2 linked regions of the Caenorhabditis elegans genome follow. The protein of the gene in region 1 purifies or fractionates together with the protein of each later gene. This does not show direct contact. Each region holds a gene or a part of one and is shown on either strand. Other genes may lie near its edges.

Evidence for each region.
Region 2: the proteins of sdha-2 (region 1) and idhg-1 fractionate together in Caenorhabditis elegans (co-fractionation; one large-scale study listed by BioGRID). This does not show direct contact.

What each region holds. Positions count from the first base shown.
Region 1 is NC_003279.8:10,681,330-10,689,472, forward strand, and holds sdha-2 (Succinate dehydrogenase [ubiquinone] flavoprotein subunit, mitochondrial), read right to left. Parts: upstream 4,259-8,143; 5' UTR 4,255-4,258; coding exon 4,196-4,254; intron 4,143-4,195; coding exon 3,964-4,142; intron 3,917-3,963; coding exon 3,764-3,916; intron 3,719-3,763; coding exon 3,044-3,718; intron 3,000-3,043; coding exon 2,732-2,999; intron 2,689-2,731; coding exon 2,499-2,688; intron 2,448-2,498; coding exon 2,049-2,447; 3' UTR 1,941-2,048; downstream 1-1,940. Other genes in the region: lonp-1 (Lon protease homolog, mitochondrial), read right to left, coding at 1-196, 527-618, 668-769, 822-1,043; spcs-1 (Signal peptidase complex subunit 1), read right to left, coding at 1,293-1,358, 1,404-1,559, 1,616-1,711; ndua-13 (NADH dehydrogenase [ubiquinone] 1 alpha subcomplex subunit 13), read right to left, coding at 4,712-4,837, 4,881-5,094, 5,140-5,218, 5,628-5,724; kbp-5 (KNL (kinetochore null) Binding Protein), read left to right, coding at 6,041-6,260, 6,321-6,415, 6,501-6,593; tag-272 (Structural protein), read left to right, coding at 7,003-7,063, 7,527-7,587.
Region 2 is NC_003281.10:4,565,314-4,573,944, reverse strand, and holds idhg-1 (Isocitrate dehydrogenase [NAD] subunit, mitochondrial), read right to left. Parts: upstream 4,933-8,631; 5' UTR 4,922-4,932; coding exon 4,796-4,921; intron 4,754-4,795; coding exon 4,541-4,753; intron 4,492-4,540; coding exon 4,363-4,491; intron 4,312-4,362; coding exon 4,207-4,311; intron 4,162-4,206; coding exon 3,949-4,161; intron 3,873-3,948; coding exon 3,729-3,872; intron 3,684-3,728; coding exon 3,495-3,683; intron 2,882-3,494; coding exon 2,810-2,881; 3' UTR 2,080-2,809; downstream 1-2,079. Other genes in the region: Serine/threonine-protein kinase sel-5, read left to right, coding at 1-36, 86-391, 690-1,188, 1,738-1,829; mlcd-1 (Malonyl-CoA decarboxylase, mitochondrial), read left to right, coding at 5,828-5,929, 5,979-6,113, 6,162-6,284, 6,333-6,559, 6,605-6,780, 6,827-6,982, 7,032-7,244, 7,292-7,397 and 1 more; pan-1 (P-granule-associated novel protein 1), read right to left, coding at 8,066-8,218, 8,276-8,544.

The DNA.
Region 1 (8,143 bases):
TCCACGAGCACGTCTTCCATTCAATGGAGTCTCATTTTTCGGTGTAATTTCGTCAATTGGTTCAAGAGCACGAATTCTTCGATGAGCACTGAGTACCAGCTCAAGAACACTTCCCTGATCACGGACTTCGATAATTTGAACGAAAGAACCAGTTGGGTAGACTTCTGATAGAGATGTGATCGTTTCTTCTTTGTTTCTGGAAAAAAATATACTAATTTGCGCGGGAATTCAAAAATAATTCAGCAATTTTAATCCATTTTTTGTTGCAAAATTGAAAAAAATACAAAACAATTTTGAAAAAGTGTATAAATTTTTTAGAAGTTATAGTCGGTATATAGAAGATTGATTTTTTTCTGTTATTTGATGATTCCAATAACAAAAATGGTTCCAAATCAAAAATATCAGGCAAAAACTGTAAAAGCATTTCCTCGGGGAGTACACGAGCTCCGTATATCAACACATGACTAGTTTTTCGGCGATTGTTCCATTTTTAAGTCAAGAAGAGATCCATTCAAAAACTACATACTCATCGTCTCTCTTCACAAAAACTCCAGCATACGGCTGTTTCAGTGAAAGCTGTCGCCTGATCAGTGCTTTTAAATTGTCATCTTTCACGATCTGAAATTTTAATTTTCAGTTTTCCGCCAAATACGTTATCTAATCTCACATCAACTTTCTTGATAAATCCTGGAAATAGTGGATATCGATTGATAGCTAACATTGGGACATTTGGCATATCGGCTGGCACTTGAATCGGTGACATTCCTCCCTGAAAATCAATTAAAATCGTCTTTTAATGACTGAAATTCTAAAAAACTTACCAAATCTTTGTACAGTTCCAATGAGTCATCCACAGCGATTGGATCGTCATGAGTGGAATAAAACCTCCTTTCTCCTGAATTTCCTGCTAATTCCATAGATTTCATCATTAAAATCGATTGATTTCTTTGAGAAAATGTGGCAAAGCTTTGATGTGCTGAAGCAGCGGCAAGAAGCCGCGTGCGAGTTGCCCCGCGGAGTAAAACCGCTCCAGCGCGGTACATTTCTGTTGAACGGGGAGTAGGATAGGAGGATTCAAGACTTCAGAATAAAAAAGTAAAATGTGTCGCATTAAAACGTCAATAAAATATTAAAATCGTTGTAGATTGAAAATGAATTTATTATGGTTCAGAAGATGATTCTTATATCACACAGAAAAATGAAGAAGAGCTCATAAATAATTTAATTTAAAATAAATATTTGACCAGATCCCGAGTAAAACGTTTTTCTTTAGTTTTTGCATCATTGCCGATTTATTTCGTCTTCTTTGTCTCCTTTTTCTTGTCTCCAGATTCTTGTGGTTCCGCAGGTGTGTGCCACTGAAAATTAAAACATTTTATACGATTTCTGTAACTTTTTCTCACCACAATCGGGTTCTTTCTGAAGAGGAATGGCCATGGTGGAAGAATGATGAGAGCTGTGAACGCAGATGCTCCCAGCACTGTGAACATGGCATATGAAAGCTGTTGAGTCCAGAATCCAACGAGGAAGCCAATAATTCCAGCAATAGTGAGGATTACCTAAATTTTATTGCTTTATTTTATGTAATTTCAGTCAATCAATTGTGGTTTGTTACCTGGTAAGTTCTCTCGGCGACTTTCTGTCCTTGAAAATCAATATGCGACGATAGTTTCTGCAGTGGAGCAGGGAGCATTGCAATCATTCCGTCCATGGTTAATTATGTAATAATTAAAAATCAAATTCAGTTATAAAAATACAAAAAGATTAAAGCAAAACGAATTCGGAATAATTTTGTTCCAACACTCCTTCATACAATGACGTAAAATAGAGATTTTCCATGGAGCGCACTTGCACATTTCATATTTTGAAGAACATTTGCAAATATTTGTGGATTGAAAACCAGAAATAAATCTTAAATAAGCTTAAATTGATATATTATTAAATTCAATAAACTTTATTCTAATCAGGAAACAAATAAATTTCACACAAAAGAAAAAAACATACAGCTCGAACACAATTATGTGAACAAAGAAGAACAAAACAACGAATTAATACGATCGGACCTTTGGTGGAACCCAGTCGGTTTCAGATTTATCGAGAGTTTTGTCGATAACTGGGCGGTATGTCAAATCAACAGCTCCAGTTTTCGTATCGATACCGATGATGGAATGCTTGCGCCAGTGCTGATCAAACGGTTTTTTCTGCTGTCCCTCAAGTGGATTGCTGTAGTCATATTCGTCAATTCTTTCTTGGAAATCATCACGAGCGTGGGCTCCACGAGATTCAGTGCGATTTTCGGCGGCGACGATGGTTTGATTGGCGTTGATAAGCAAATTCTGAAGCTCGAGAGTTTCGACAAGCTCCGAATTCCATACTTTTCCAGAGTCGGCACACGCCTTCAAATTTTGTTGCTCTTTGTAGATGGAGGACATTTTATCGACTCCTTCCTGAAAATATCCAATATTTTTTGAAAATAGAATAAATCTGTATTTACTTACCTTCAAAAGATCGCCCCGTCTGAAAACAGCAGCATGTTTCTGCATTGTCATTTGCATCTTTTGTCTTAATTCGATAGATGAAATATCTCCTTTTGAGTGCAAAAGTCCGTTCAAATTGTCACACGATTTCTCTTCACAATTTACCGGAAGCTCCGGGATTGAATCTCCTGGTTTGTTCTCATTAAGGATACTGAAATCTTTAGTTTAAACCTGTTCAGATAAATGAAACTAACGTGAGAGCGCAAGATCTTCCAAAGATAACCAAATCTAGAAGGGAATTTGCTCCGAGACGATTTGCTCCATGAACTGAATGTGCTGCACATTCACCAGCGGCATAGAGTCCTGGAATCACTTTATCTCCTCCTTCAGGTGTGAAATCGAGAACTTGTCCCTTGTAATTCGTAGGAACTCCTCCCATGTTGTAGTGAACAGTTGGAATGACTGGAATCGGCTCTTTGGTTACATCCACACCAGCAAAGATTTGAGCGGTTTCCGAGATTCCTGAAAGAAAATTATTAACAATTGAAAACACTAATATCACGTACCTGGCAATCGTTGTTGAAGCTGTTCAGCTGGAAGATGATGCAATTGAAGGTAAATATGATCTTTGTTTGGTCCGACTCCTCTTCCTTCATTAATTTCCATAGTCATGGCTCTTGAAACAACATCTCTTGACGCTAAATCCTTGGCATTCGGTGCATATCTTTCCATAAATCGTTCTCCTTGCGAATTGACCAAATATCCACCCTCTCCTCGTGATCCTTCGGTGATCAAACATCCAACTCCGTAGATTCCAGTTGGATGGAATTGAACAAACTCCATATCAGAATTACGAATACCTGCACGAGCGGTAAGAGCGGTTCCATCACCAGTACAAGTGTGAGCAGATGTACACGAGAAGTAAGCTCTTCCATAGCCTCCGGTGGCGAGGACAGTGTTCTTTGCGCGGAAACGATGAATCTGTCCAGTTTCAATGTCCAGTGCAACGACGCCAATGCATTTTCCCTTATCCATAATCAAATCCAAAGCGAAATACTCGACAAAATAATTACAGTCGTATTGAAGAGATGCACCGTAGAGGGTATGAAGAAGTGAGTGTCCAGTTCTATCGGCCACACAGCAAGTACGGTGAGCCTGTCCTCCACGACCGAAATCATTAGATTGACCTCCAAAAGCCCGTTGATAAATTTTTCCGTCTGTTGTACGCGAGAAAGGCATTCCTGCAAGAAAATTGTTGTTTTTTAATGTTAGAGAATCTTATTGACCGTAATTTTCAAGTTCAATAATAGCTCTTTCGGCTTCTCGAGTCATATAGTGAATCGCGTCTTGATCTCCAAGCCAATCGGACCCTTTTACAGTGTCGTAGAAGTGCCAGCGCCAGTTATCTGGATTCATATTTCCCAAAGCGGCGTTCACACCTAAAAATCAAAATTTAAATTCTGTTCGTATACTTTGAGCGGCTCACCTCCTTGAGCCGCGACTGTGTGCGATCTTGTGGGGAAAAGCTTCGTAATGACGGCAGTTTTCATTCCACCTTCGGAGAGTCCCATCGCAGCTCTCAAACCGGCTCCTCCTGCTCCCACAACAACCGCGTCAAAAGTGTGATCAACGACATCAAAATTGGTGGTTGCGCTCACTTGTTTTCTTTGAAAATTGATAAAATTAGTGAAATGGCGTTAGAAAATAAATTATCTCACTTCATATAAGTGCGAACAGGTGTTTTCGCACGGTTTATCGACTTTACGACATTAAGCATCTTGCTGAAAATACAGGAAAAATATAGAACGTTCAGAAAAACAAATAAAAATCCGATAACGGTTGAGGTGAAACCAAAAATGAGTTGGCCGCGCGAACGATACACCGTAGTTCACACTTTCGGTGCGAGACCCACCGCTCAATTTTTGTTCCTGCGCCTTTAAGTTTGAAACAACTACGGTACATTTTTCTCTATTTATTTACATGAAATTTCTGAAAAGAAACGTTTCATTTGAAATTTTATCGTAAATTTACATCTTCATTTCATAAAATTCCAGAAGAGAAAAACAATACACAAACACGACTTTTAAAAACCAAAGGCCTGTCGTTCATTTTCGAAAACTAACAGTCTAAAAATGAAAACAAAAAAAAAAAGAAAATGATGTTTTATTGATAGGGGCCTAGAGCAGGACACGAACTCGAAGATTAGTTTGCCAATCCATCCAGATGAATGGTATTTACCAGAACCACTTGGACATCCATTGTGGGAACCAATTATCGTAGAATTTCGGTCCAGCGTACTCAGAGTGTTGGCGCCAAAGATGATCACGGGTTTCATTTGATCCCCTTGAGTGAACGAATACCTAAAAAATATGATAAGCTCCAGAATTGTTATAAATTTTTTACCTCAGTAGCAGTTGGATCCCACCACTTGTCTCCGAGAGTAAAGTACACTGGCTCTCCGTACCAGGTTCCAGTCTTCCATCCTGGAACATCCTTCATAATTTCCTCTTCCAGAGCACGATTCTTGGCCAACAATTTGAGCCAATATCTGTCACGCTCGGCAGTCAAGAACGGCTCCATTGCGTTGTTGATGTCAACATCTTCGAACTTTTCAGTGCTGTAAACTTGATATTTTTGGAGATAAATTCACTAGTTATCTTACATGTCCTTCTTCTTTCCTTCAAGAGCAGCATAGACTCCGTAGGCAGTAGCTCCGAAAATGGCGGCGACGACGGTTCCAGCTTAAATTTGTGATTGATTTTAAGAAAGTTTTGTGTTTTGAATCAAAATTTGATAGACAGAAACTTAAAAATAGAATACTGTTTCAACAATAAATTTGATAAAAATGTATTTATTCTTCGCGTTATATTATTTATAGAAAATAGTGTGAAATATCAAAAATTACAGCAAAATAGCAAACTGATCCCAAAATATTATGCTAAAAACGTTCTCTGTCATTTATATTTTATTGCTCAAGACAAACAGCTTTATTTTTATAAATAGCGTCTAAGCCTTTTTATTCTTTAAAGTTTCTTGAGAATCGTTTTTCAAAATATTTATTCTGTATTTCACAGCATTCTTCTCAATTTTTTCGGCGTTTTGCGTTGTTTCATTTCGAGTAATATTTTAAAGCAAAAAAAAACAACTCACGACTCCAGACAAGCTTCGGAAAAGTGCGATGGAAGTTGAATGCACGATAGCCTCCTTTTGGAGGCATATCCTGCCGAAACTCTGCTCCAGTGGCCATTTTACCTGAAAATAATGAATATAAATTCGATAAAAAACCGAATAAATTATAAAAATCGATAATTTCGTTGAGGAAAAAAAAACTTGCAAACAGAATAGAAATTGATAAGTCGGGCAAAATGTGCGGCACGGGAATGTGGGCGTGGTCTTCGTCGCAACACTGCGGCGCACTTTCACAGCGATTTATTATTTTGGCGCGTTTATCTTTTTTTTTTGAAGACGTATTTTGCATTTATCGCTTGTTTTCTTCTTGAAATTGCTTTTTTAATATAAAAATCTGCTTTCAAACAAAATTCAAACTTATTTTCAGTACTAAAATGAATCCAAATCATAATGAAGGCCTCCTCGAGCTGTACACACAAGCAATCTCACTCGAAGCTCTCAAAGACGCTGAGCAATTCCTCGAGAATAGTTTGCTAGGAAAAGATGCACAAGTCGAACGTCTACTCGCTCAAGTTCTCATCGAAGAGCAGCAAATCGAGACGAATCGCAAAAAGATAGCACAATTGAGAATCGAGAAAGAAGAACTGGAATTCGGTGGGTTTTCGGAACTTTTCTGGTTTTATAATAATAATTAATTAATTAATTTAAATTCAGATTGTGCAAATAGTGACCTGAAGTCGTTGGAGCAGATGCAAGCCGAGCGAGATGAGCTCCAGAGGAAGTGCCAACCGGGGCAGCACACTAAATCGGTGAGATAGGGGAGATTTTGAAGCTGAGAAATGCTTTTTGTTATCTGAAAACATTCAGCGTTTCTATTATTATTTTTAATTCTAGAATCACAAATCATCTGAACAACTTTTGAGAATGAAAAAAGAAACCGACGCTCTACGTGCCTACATGAAGAAGATAAGTCAATTCGAAGACTGAAGCCATCAAATGAATCTCTATCAATTATCCCTCAATTTAAATTAATTTCCATTCAAATCGATCTGTTCTCATATTTCCTCATGATGTGATTCTCTAATCTTTTGTACATCTACAAGTTATTTTGTTTTATAAAGCCACATCTCACTTATGCATAGTTTTTGTGTCCAAAACGGAAGTGTTATTGGGAAGAAAAAGTACAACATAAGGGAAGAGTGAAGAAAATCGAGAGACGCAGATATGACTTTTTATTTGCGAACACGAAAAGCAAAGTGACCAGCAGCATTGGACACTTTTCGAGCAAACTTTTCGTCCGAGGAGGAGCTCATTGAGCTTAAGTCTCAGAGCACTGACCATTACTTCGGTCACTCTACTGTTTTGAGAAGCGTTGAGCTCTTTCAATCGTGTAAAAATGTTACCAAAAACTGGATCATTCGATGGGATTCCTAAAAATTTCAGAGCAAGTTTGAGAAGTGAGTATTTATGGTCTCGAAATTTTTTTTAAATCTTGAATTCTTATTTTTGTTTTTCTTTCTCTAGTTACTCCCAGGATTAAACCAGTAAATTAAAAAAATGCACTTAAAAATTCGATAACTTCCTAGAGTAACTTCCTACTGTAAATTTAAAGGCGCATACACAAAATATTTTTCATAACGCGCGGCAAGACCAATCCACTAAATTCGTCCTCCCTTGAAGTTTTTCTGCCAAATTTCTCATTTTTCAGAATAAATTCCTGAAAACTTTTGAATTCAAAATTTTCGTGCTTAAAAATAAGATGTACGAGACAATGTAAACACCAAATATTATTGCACATGACCCCCGCTAATCTGTATTGAAGTAAACATTTTTTGGCTGAAGTTTTTTTGTGGAAAATTTTTCACAGAAAATTTTTTAGTTTTTGTGCGGTTTCGGGCGTCTTTATCTAAAGAATTCCAGAAACTAACAGCGAAGACGGATCGGACATTTTCGATTACATGGATGAGGGAATTACGAGAAGGTAAATTGATTTTTTTTTCTCATTTTTCAAAATTTAATCTTTTTCTTTTTTGCTGCTACCGTACCCTGCCCACGGTCAATTCCATTTCTTTTATTTTTCAAAAATTCTCTTGAAACTTTTTTCGTTATTTTTTCGATAAATTTTCCAAAGAAAAACATTTTAAAGAAAAAAGTATCCAGAAAATGGCTACTGTAGATGAAAAGCGTCGATCGTGCCAAGACCCGATGTCTTGATTTTGGGGGAAAATCGCAGCGAAAACCGATCTTTTGTTTTGCTTAAGATATTTCAACAAAAACAAATAATTGCAACAAATTACTTTTCGGTTTGATCCTTTTCGTACATCCCGGGTACATCAATTTTCTATATATATATCTCAACACTTTTATCCTATAATCCCCACTTAATCTTCAGTATCCTCCCATTCAAATTTGTTTCCACAAAGAAAGAAGATACTTCCCAATTTGCATCCAAATATCACCATAGAAACGAGACCCGCTTACCCTGTGTTCCCGTATTTTATTTGTTTTTCCTCCCAGCTGACTCAATTTCTCAATAA
Region 2 (8,631 bases), on another chromosome or scaffold:
TTATTAGAAGATGATGGATTGGAGGATGACGATGATGTATGCTTTTTCGATTACATTCAAAAATTGTAATCTTTAAAAATTACAGCACGAACTGATCTCATCATTCTCATCTTCATCTACTAATTACCCACCACTATTCATTGGAACATCAACTCCGCATACACAGAATCCTATCACGAATCCATTTCTCCGAGATGAGCTTACTCCGAAAATGATCATCACTGCTCCGTTGCCCACAGCAAAAAATAACTTGGATGATGACTGGGATCTTGGAGATCGGTGGACGGATCGGAGAGATACGGTATTTGAAAGACCTGCGTCTGAACATCAAAACGTCTTTGCACCAGCCACATTACCAAGACAAGCAACTCCGTTGGTTTGTCGATTTAAGGTTCGTACAGAAAAATTGTAAAAATATTTTAAAATTCTTCTTATTTTGAATCAAAAAAAAAATGTAACAAAAATAACGCGAAATTTTACGGTACTCGGTCTCGAAGCGCCAGACTTGAGTCAAATGAAAAAAGGCGTCAGCCTTTAAATAGTACTGTAGTTTCAAACTTTCGTTGCTGTAGAATTTTAATATTTTTCGATGAAAAAAAACTAACTTTCGCCAAAAAATGTAATGTAGAAAAGCTTATAAAAACTCATTTTTAAAGTTATTTTTGAGATTTTATAATAGCCCTTTTCAGCCGGATCTACCCACAGCTGCTCCTGTTTCAATAATTCCATCAATGTCAAATACATCGTTTCCTGAAGCTGTTCGAGACTCTGATACAGTCCCTTGTGAGCCAATTATTGGAACTTTAATTTCTGTTGGCGCACCTACGGATCCACCACCACCACCTCTTCCAAAGAAACCAACAGAAGCTTCTCCAACACAAGAGACGACTGCAACGATTCCAGTGGCTTTGGGTAAAAAGGAGAAATTGTTGAAAAAGGAGAAGAAAAAAGAGAAAAAAGATGGGAAGAAGGATAAATTAAAATTAGAAGAATATCGAGAAAAAGGATCCTCTGAACCTGAAACCGATGGATCTGAAGCTGAAATATGGACGAATGATGGAGCAACAACTTTTTCGAATAAGAAAAAGAAAAAGAGCACATTTGGATTACGATCATCACATCCATCAATTGTTGCAAATGATTTGCAGTTCTCTTCTCCAATGCCTCCAGTTGTTAAAAAATCATCCAGTCAGTTTTCAGATTTTTTGTCGGTTTTTAACAAAAAATTCTGAAAAAGAAAGTTATGAAATACGAAAAAAGAGTTTAAGATTTTTGAGTTCTTTGATTTTAAAGAAAATTTAATATTTTTGTAATGAAATTCAACCTTTTTTGATACATCTAGTCCCTACTTTTCTGAAAATAATTTATATTTTTCAAAACTTTTTTAGAGTTAATCTTTTAAAAAAGGTTAACAAACAATTTCGGAAAAACTGGAATATCCGATAATATGAAAATAGCCAAAATATGAGGCTAGGTTTCAAAAAATCAAATTTTTAAAAGAAATTTTCATATTTTTCTAATGAAATTCAATATATTTGTTTGTAAATAAAGTAATAAAGTTTCGATCTTTTCTTTTAAAAAATTTCCGATCGCTAAAAAAATAAAACTGACCAAAATTTTAAAGTTTGTTTCAAAAAGAAACTGAAATTTTTGGTTTTTTTAAACAGAATAATTTACGACGACCCTTCCGTATAGAAAAACTAATGTTTTATTTAAAATTAAAATTTACTGTTTCAGAAGATAAAAAATCGTCACTGACTGGCAAAAATGCATCATTTGTGAATACATCCTTCCAACCGGAAGATCATGATGATCCAACCGACTTGTAAACTGGAATTTTTCATATTTCTTTTTATATATTACACAATTTGTTCTTTTTAGTGATTTGCAATTCACCCTCCCCCCAAAGTTGTCGTTGTGTCAAATTTAGAATCACTTATTTTCTCAATTATTTATTTTCTTTTGGTATTTTCCCGCCAATGTACTTATGATATGTATAATATGGAATATGCTTTCCTTGTAATTTTCATATTTTGGTATCCACCCACGCATGTAGTTGTGATAGACTCAATCTCCCAGTTTCATATGCATATTTTCTGTAATTTATTAATTCTTTTTTCAACTTTTTTTCTGCAAGTTTTAGTACAATTTTTCTGACCCGAAATAAATTATTTCGAATTGAAATGTTCGATCGACATTTGATTTTGAAAAAGAACTTACAACGCATGTTGCTTTCACCAGACCATCCGGTATATTGAACTAAAATTTGTATTAGTTCAATATTTCCTAGATAGTCTGGTGAAATAAAGAATAGAATAGTTGTGGCAAAAAATGAATAATATTAAAGTGAGCTAGGGAGCATTCAAAAAGATACAGTAGCTACAGTAGTAAACTCCGCCTTTTTTCAAGCAGCTCTCAAGTATTGACTAATTAGGTTAAGAGCATATTGGTGGGGGGAGTACTTAACTTTGTGACAGTAACCTAATATTAACATTATTAACAGAGTATCGAATTTCACTAAACCAATTTTATAATATTGTACTATACTGGAAATGAGAAAAATTCAAACAATCAGAAAAAATTAAAATCCAAAGAAAATTGTGGGTACAGAGATGAGGAAGAAAGGAACAAGATAAGAGACATCAGGCGGAAACGTTCAGTCAACGGGGTCAAACAGAGAAAGAGCACAATGAGTAACGCATTATGCTACGAATCATGGATTAATCGAAAAAAAAACAGAGGAAAAGAACGTAAGGGTAAAGCTAGCCACTATGTGGGATGTTTCAAACTTTCGATTATCAGGTAGAAATTAGACACGGTAGTTGCGGTCCTCGAGCTCCTTCTCGATGAAGTCGAGTACTGATTGAACGAGTTCCGATGACTGAAAATTTATTAAATTAAAGTTTTGTAGTGCATTTTTAAAAAGTACTTATAAAGTTAATGTTCTAAAAAGTGAAGTCGTTTTGAAGTTTTGCTTAAAATCATCGAAAATGGACCATAATAACTGTAAAAAAATTTATAACATTTTTTCTATGATTTTTCCAATTTTGCAAGAATAAAAAATGTGAGTTCCGACATTTTTGCCTTTTCCGGCAATTTTTCAAATATTTTTTCCGCAAAGAAAACTTCATAAACCGAAATAAATTCGAAAACATTTCAAAAATTAGCCTAAAACTCGATAATTCATAAATTTCTTTGCGGAAAATGTATGTGTGTTTTATACCAAATACTAAAAAAACAAAATTAAGAGTAATCACTCAGTACAGCCGAAAAACGCAAAAAAACTATTCTACTTATTCGCGCGGAAATTCAGAAACACTTATCTTATTTTTTAATTTTGCAAAATATTAGAAAAATTGTATAAATTTTTAAATTACGGTCCATTTATGGATATCATCTTGAGCAAAATTCCAAAACGACTCTACTCTACTTTTAAATAAAGAAAAGGTAAGAATTTAATATATACAACTTTAGAAAATTAATGAAATTCTTACCTTAGAAGTTCCTCCAATATCAGCGGTGTGAATTCTCTTATCAACAAGCGTACGGAACAATGAATCGGAGATCATATCGGCGTGTGATTGAAGTCCGAGGAAACGAAGCATATCAACGGCGGCACGGATGAACGCAGTTGGATTGGCAAGATCTTTTCCAGCAAGAGTGGTTCCGGTGTTACGGGTTCCCTGAAAAAAACAAATGTTATTTAATATTTTCATCAATATGCTAACTGTTTCAAAGACGGCGTAATCTTCTCCAATGTTCATTCCAGAAACAAGTCCTGGACCTCCGACGAGTCCACAAGCAATGTTTGAAATGATGTTTCCATAGAGATTTGGCATTAACATAACATCGAATTGTTGTGGGCGTGAAACCTGGAAATAAATAAGGATTTTTAATTATTCGTCTTTTTTCAGAACATTTATTTTGATGAATAAATAAACAACCCACCAACTGCATGGAAGCATTATCGACAATCATAGCATTGAATTCAATATCTGGATACTCGGCCTTGGCGATATCAGTGGCTACTTTAAGGAAAAGACCGTCTCCCAACTTTTGAATGTTGGCCTTGTGAACAGCAGTAACCTTCTTTCTTCCATATTTCTTTGCGAATTGGAATGCAAAACGAGTAATTTGTTCCGATTTTTCGCGAGTAACAACCTTTAAATTTGAAATTAGGACTAAATCTCAGTTGATAATCCCAACCTTCAAAGATTCGACAACACGAGGATGTGGAGCATTAACGGCTTCGTGCTCATTTCCAGAGTACTCGCCTTCAGTATTCTCACGGATGATAACCATATCGATTCCCTAAAGCTTTTCATTTGAAATTTGTACAAATCGATTTAAAAAAATTCTTACAGTGTGTCTGCTTGGAACAGTTGGAATAGTGGAACAGTGAAGAACGTTTGCGTAAAGATTGAGTTGACGACGAAGTTCCAAGTTTCGGGAAACGAAGCTTGGGTTATCAAACTTAGTTTCAATGTTTCCCTTCAAAAAAAAAAAATTAAATTTGATTTTAATCTTTCAACAAAAATACCTTCAAAGCAACACCATTTCTCTTGATAGCAGTGATAGCCTCAGCAAGATCTTCAGATGCATCTTCCTTTGAGGTCAAATTAACCACTTCGAAATCTACTGGAGCTTGAACTGCTGAAAGGATTCTCTCGACATGATGGAGCATTTCTGGTCCAATTCCATCTCCTGGCAAGACTGTGACGTTGTGACGTCCTCCATAACGAGCCAGCTTAGTCTGAAAATTGATATTAATAGCAGATAAAAATGAATTACTTACTGTGTTAGTTTGAAGAACTGGAGAACGGAATCGGAGCATATCGGAGTTCGGTGAAGTCGCGACGAACGCCTTTTGCACGACATTCTTCGAAGAGCGAAGTGTATGACCGAGGACGTTGCTCGACATCTTGTTTTTACCTGAAATGTTAAAAAAATGGAATTTACTAGAAAAACAACAGTTTAAAAATGTACTTTTAAAAGTGCATGTCAGAATAGTAGCCAATTTTTTAAATAGAAGGGTATAGTATATTTCAAAACTTTAACAAAAAACATTAAATCTTCCCGATATCATCATTATCATTATGAAAACTCAGATTTATCACTAAACAGATAATTTTCAGAAATTATATGCACAAAAAAAGAGGGCGGAACGAGCCGACCGATTGATTTGCAAGCGCCGCACGTGTTTCTCGCAATTCCGCCGCGCGACATTTTCATTTTCGTCTTTTATGTTTATTTTGTCCATTTTCGTTCATTTCTATCTATTTCAAATATTTTTGCTTTTTCTCTCTATTTGAGGGTTCATTGGTTTGTGTTTACTTCTAGTCTAGATTGCAATTCAAGCCAACTGCCGGGGAAATCCGGGAATTCGAACAGCAGTTGGCGCTTGATTGATTTTCGCCGCCGAATTGTTGTTGCTTCGTTGTTTTGTTTTGTTGGTTGTCTCAAGCGCTTATCAGGTGATCTATTAGTGATTTTTGTGTAGAAATAAATGTCTTAGGATTGTTCTTTAAAGTTTGTTTCATTGAAAACTCTTTGAAATAGTTGTTTCATGTAGAACCTGGCACGCCTTTTTCCAAAAATAGCGTCTATTTCTTATACAGAAATCGGTATCCAAGAAATAGTTTTGGCTGAAGTTACAAAGTCTTTATTATTTTATTAACTACTATTTAAAACGTTAACTGTTACTTGATTATCTTTTTATTTGTTCGTTTTGCTGATTTACATGCTCCCGGACTGTTTCGAGAATGTTTCGCGCTATGAAACTGTTATTTTCCCCCATAGATAATTATTTTGTAGGTTGATGTAAATAATGCTTCGTCGATATTCACATTTTTACTCGATTCGATATTCTTCCACATTATTATCTACTTTAGACGGACTCACAAATCGAACAAGTGGAGATAAGTTACTCGTAAGTTGAACTATATTTTCCAATTATTTGAAAAAATTTTATTTTTCAGACTTATAGCGAGAAGTTTTCCAAATTATATGCCAATTCCACGCCAGAAACTCGAAAATCGATTTTCGTAGATCTCGTCACAAACTATGGTGTAAACAAAGAAGCCCTAAATCATGCGATTTCTCTATATTCTAAGGTTGGTTATTATCATTGACATCGTATGACCAAAAATTGTAAAGTTCAGAATGATCAAATGTACCCGGAAGTAAGAACATCAGCAACAGCTTCTTATGTGAATTTGATAAAATCAATTGGAAATTTACCGGGAGGAGTTATGCAAGTCTGTGAAATGAGGGCTAATATTTTGGTATTAAAATTAAAATAAAATTAGCATCGAATATATAATTATTTTCAGGCACTTCTAAAACGGGAAACTGACAAAACTACAACATCATATCTCCGTCACATTGAACTGGCCACTAGAGAAGTATTAACTTCATGGTTTTCTTTAGGAAATCTAAAATTGGAACGACTTACGTGGTCATCTCCTGGAGATATTCTACAGAAAGTCGCCGAATATGAGGCAGTTCATCCAGTTAGAGGACTTTCAGATTTCAGAAAACGTCTTGGTCCGTTGAGACGGTAATTATGAAATAAAAATAAAAAACTAAAATTTCATTTTCTCAGATGTTTCTATTTTTCCCACGAAGCTCTTCCCCGGAACCCACTTGTGATGGTTCACGTGGCATTAGTTGATGAGATAGCGGATAGTGTACAAGAAATCACAAAAAGAGGAGCACCGACTGGAAAAGAAGAAGATCAAACAACTGCAATTTATTATTCAATCACTTCTACACAGCCTGGTAAAATTTAAGAAATGTATTCATTACATGTTTTATTCGTTTTCAGGTCTTTCTGGTATTGATCTCGGAAATATGCTCATCAAGAAAGTCGCCACTAAACTTCAAAAAGATGTTCCATCAGTCACAACTCATTCAACATTATCTCCGATTCCTGGTTTCCGACCTTGGCTTATCAGAAATCTGAAAGGGAATTCAGAATATCGTAAGCTGTACATTTTTAGACAATTGAGTTACTTTCAATGTTTTTTCAGCTTCAATTATGAATGAAAAGGTTGTCAATTGGATTTCTGATATATCTGAAAGGGAAATGAACGAAGTAGAAGCAACCGAAACTCTACTGAAAGTCATAAGCAATGAAAAAACGAAAAAGGAGCAGCTCAATGCAATCCAGCACATTTTGATGTACGCGTGTGCTCATTATCTTTGTAATGCAAAACGAAATGGAATGGCTTTAAATTCAGTTGGTAAGCATGATTTTATCGATAAGCATTGAAAAAAAAATTATTTTAAGCAAACTTCCACATTAGAAACGGCGCAGAGTTGTATAGACTGAATTGGAATGGAGATACGAGTCATAGAGGGATCAATAACAGTTTTGGAATTATGGTAAACTACAGGTATGACTCGGTCGAACCTTTTTTGAGTCTAAAAATTTAATTTTCAGATACGATTTGGAGAAGGTTCACGAGAACAGTGCAGCTTACACTGAACACAAAAAGATGGCGATTAATCAGAAAGTTTTGGATATCTTCTGAATCTTTTCACCCAGCTCCTCATATGTATTCGAGTTTCAAGAATTTAGTCTAGTTAATGTGTCATATTATACTTGTAACAAATTCGTGTGATTGCTTGCCCAGTTTCTTGTGAATAAAATTTTCGAAATTTTAATTACTTAGTGCATTGTTTATTATGTCATAACAATAATATTAATATTAGAAAAATTGGATATTTGACAGGGATCGCGGTGCCTATAGGTACATGTTGAAAACTTGTTCGATGAAGATTTCAAAAAGATCAGTGGTGGATACCTGATAAGTTGGGTGGTTCAGAAGGGGTGAGAGAGAGAAGTATTGAAGAGAGAGATTGAGAAAACAAGAAAAATGAAAGAACACGTATCGAGTTGGGGGTTGGGACGAGAGAAGGAATAGAAAAGAAAACTTTTCAAATGGCTATTTACAGAAGAAGAAAAGCGAAGAAAAATGAGGTATTCAACCGGGGAGAATATGAATTATTATTATCCAGTGAGTGTTTTTTTGTTGATTTGAGGTTATGAAATTTTTCTTCTTTAAAAATTCTGGAATCGTACAGTCTTCTTCGGCCCAGTATTCCTCTTTGGCATTGCTGGAACGACGAGAATTGAGTCAGATGCGATGTTCAATGGATCATTCTCAATCAGTTTATGAAGATCAGAATCAGAACGACGACCGCGAAGTGGGAACTGAAAATTAAATTAAATAATTGTACTTCATTTTCAGCAGGAAAAACTAATATATACCTGGTATCTAGCATCCTTGAAATAAAGCATAGCAATAATGACCATAATAACAATTGTGACAATTGTCAAAATGGTGGCAGCTACAGTAATCCATCCAGATCGATAAACTTCTTCCTCTTCTGGCATTACTGTGGATCCTTCTTTCTGTCCGCAATTTGGGATTGCCAAGCATCCGAGTGCTCCTTCAGCAACATCTGCCTCCTCAGATGCCTCAAGCCATCGTGGAAGCCATTCTTTCGGGTCGTTGCACACGCAAACCCATGGATTCACTGGAATTTGTTTTGTTGTAAACGCGGACAAAATAATTTAAAAAATCTTCGATGCAAATTTATCGTTTACAGATAGATTATTATTTA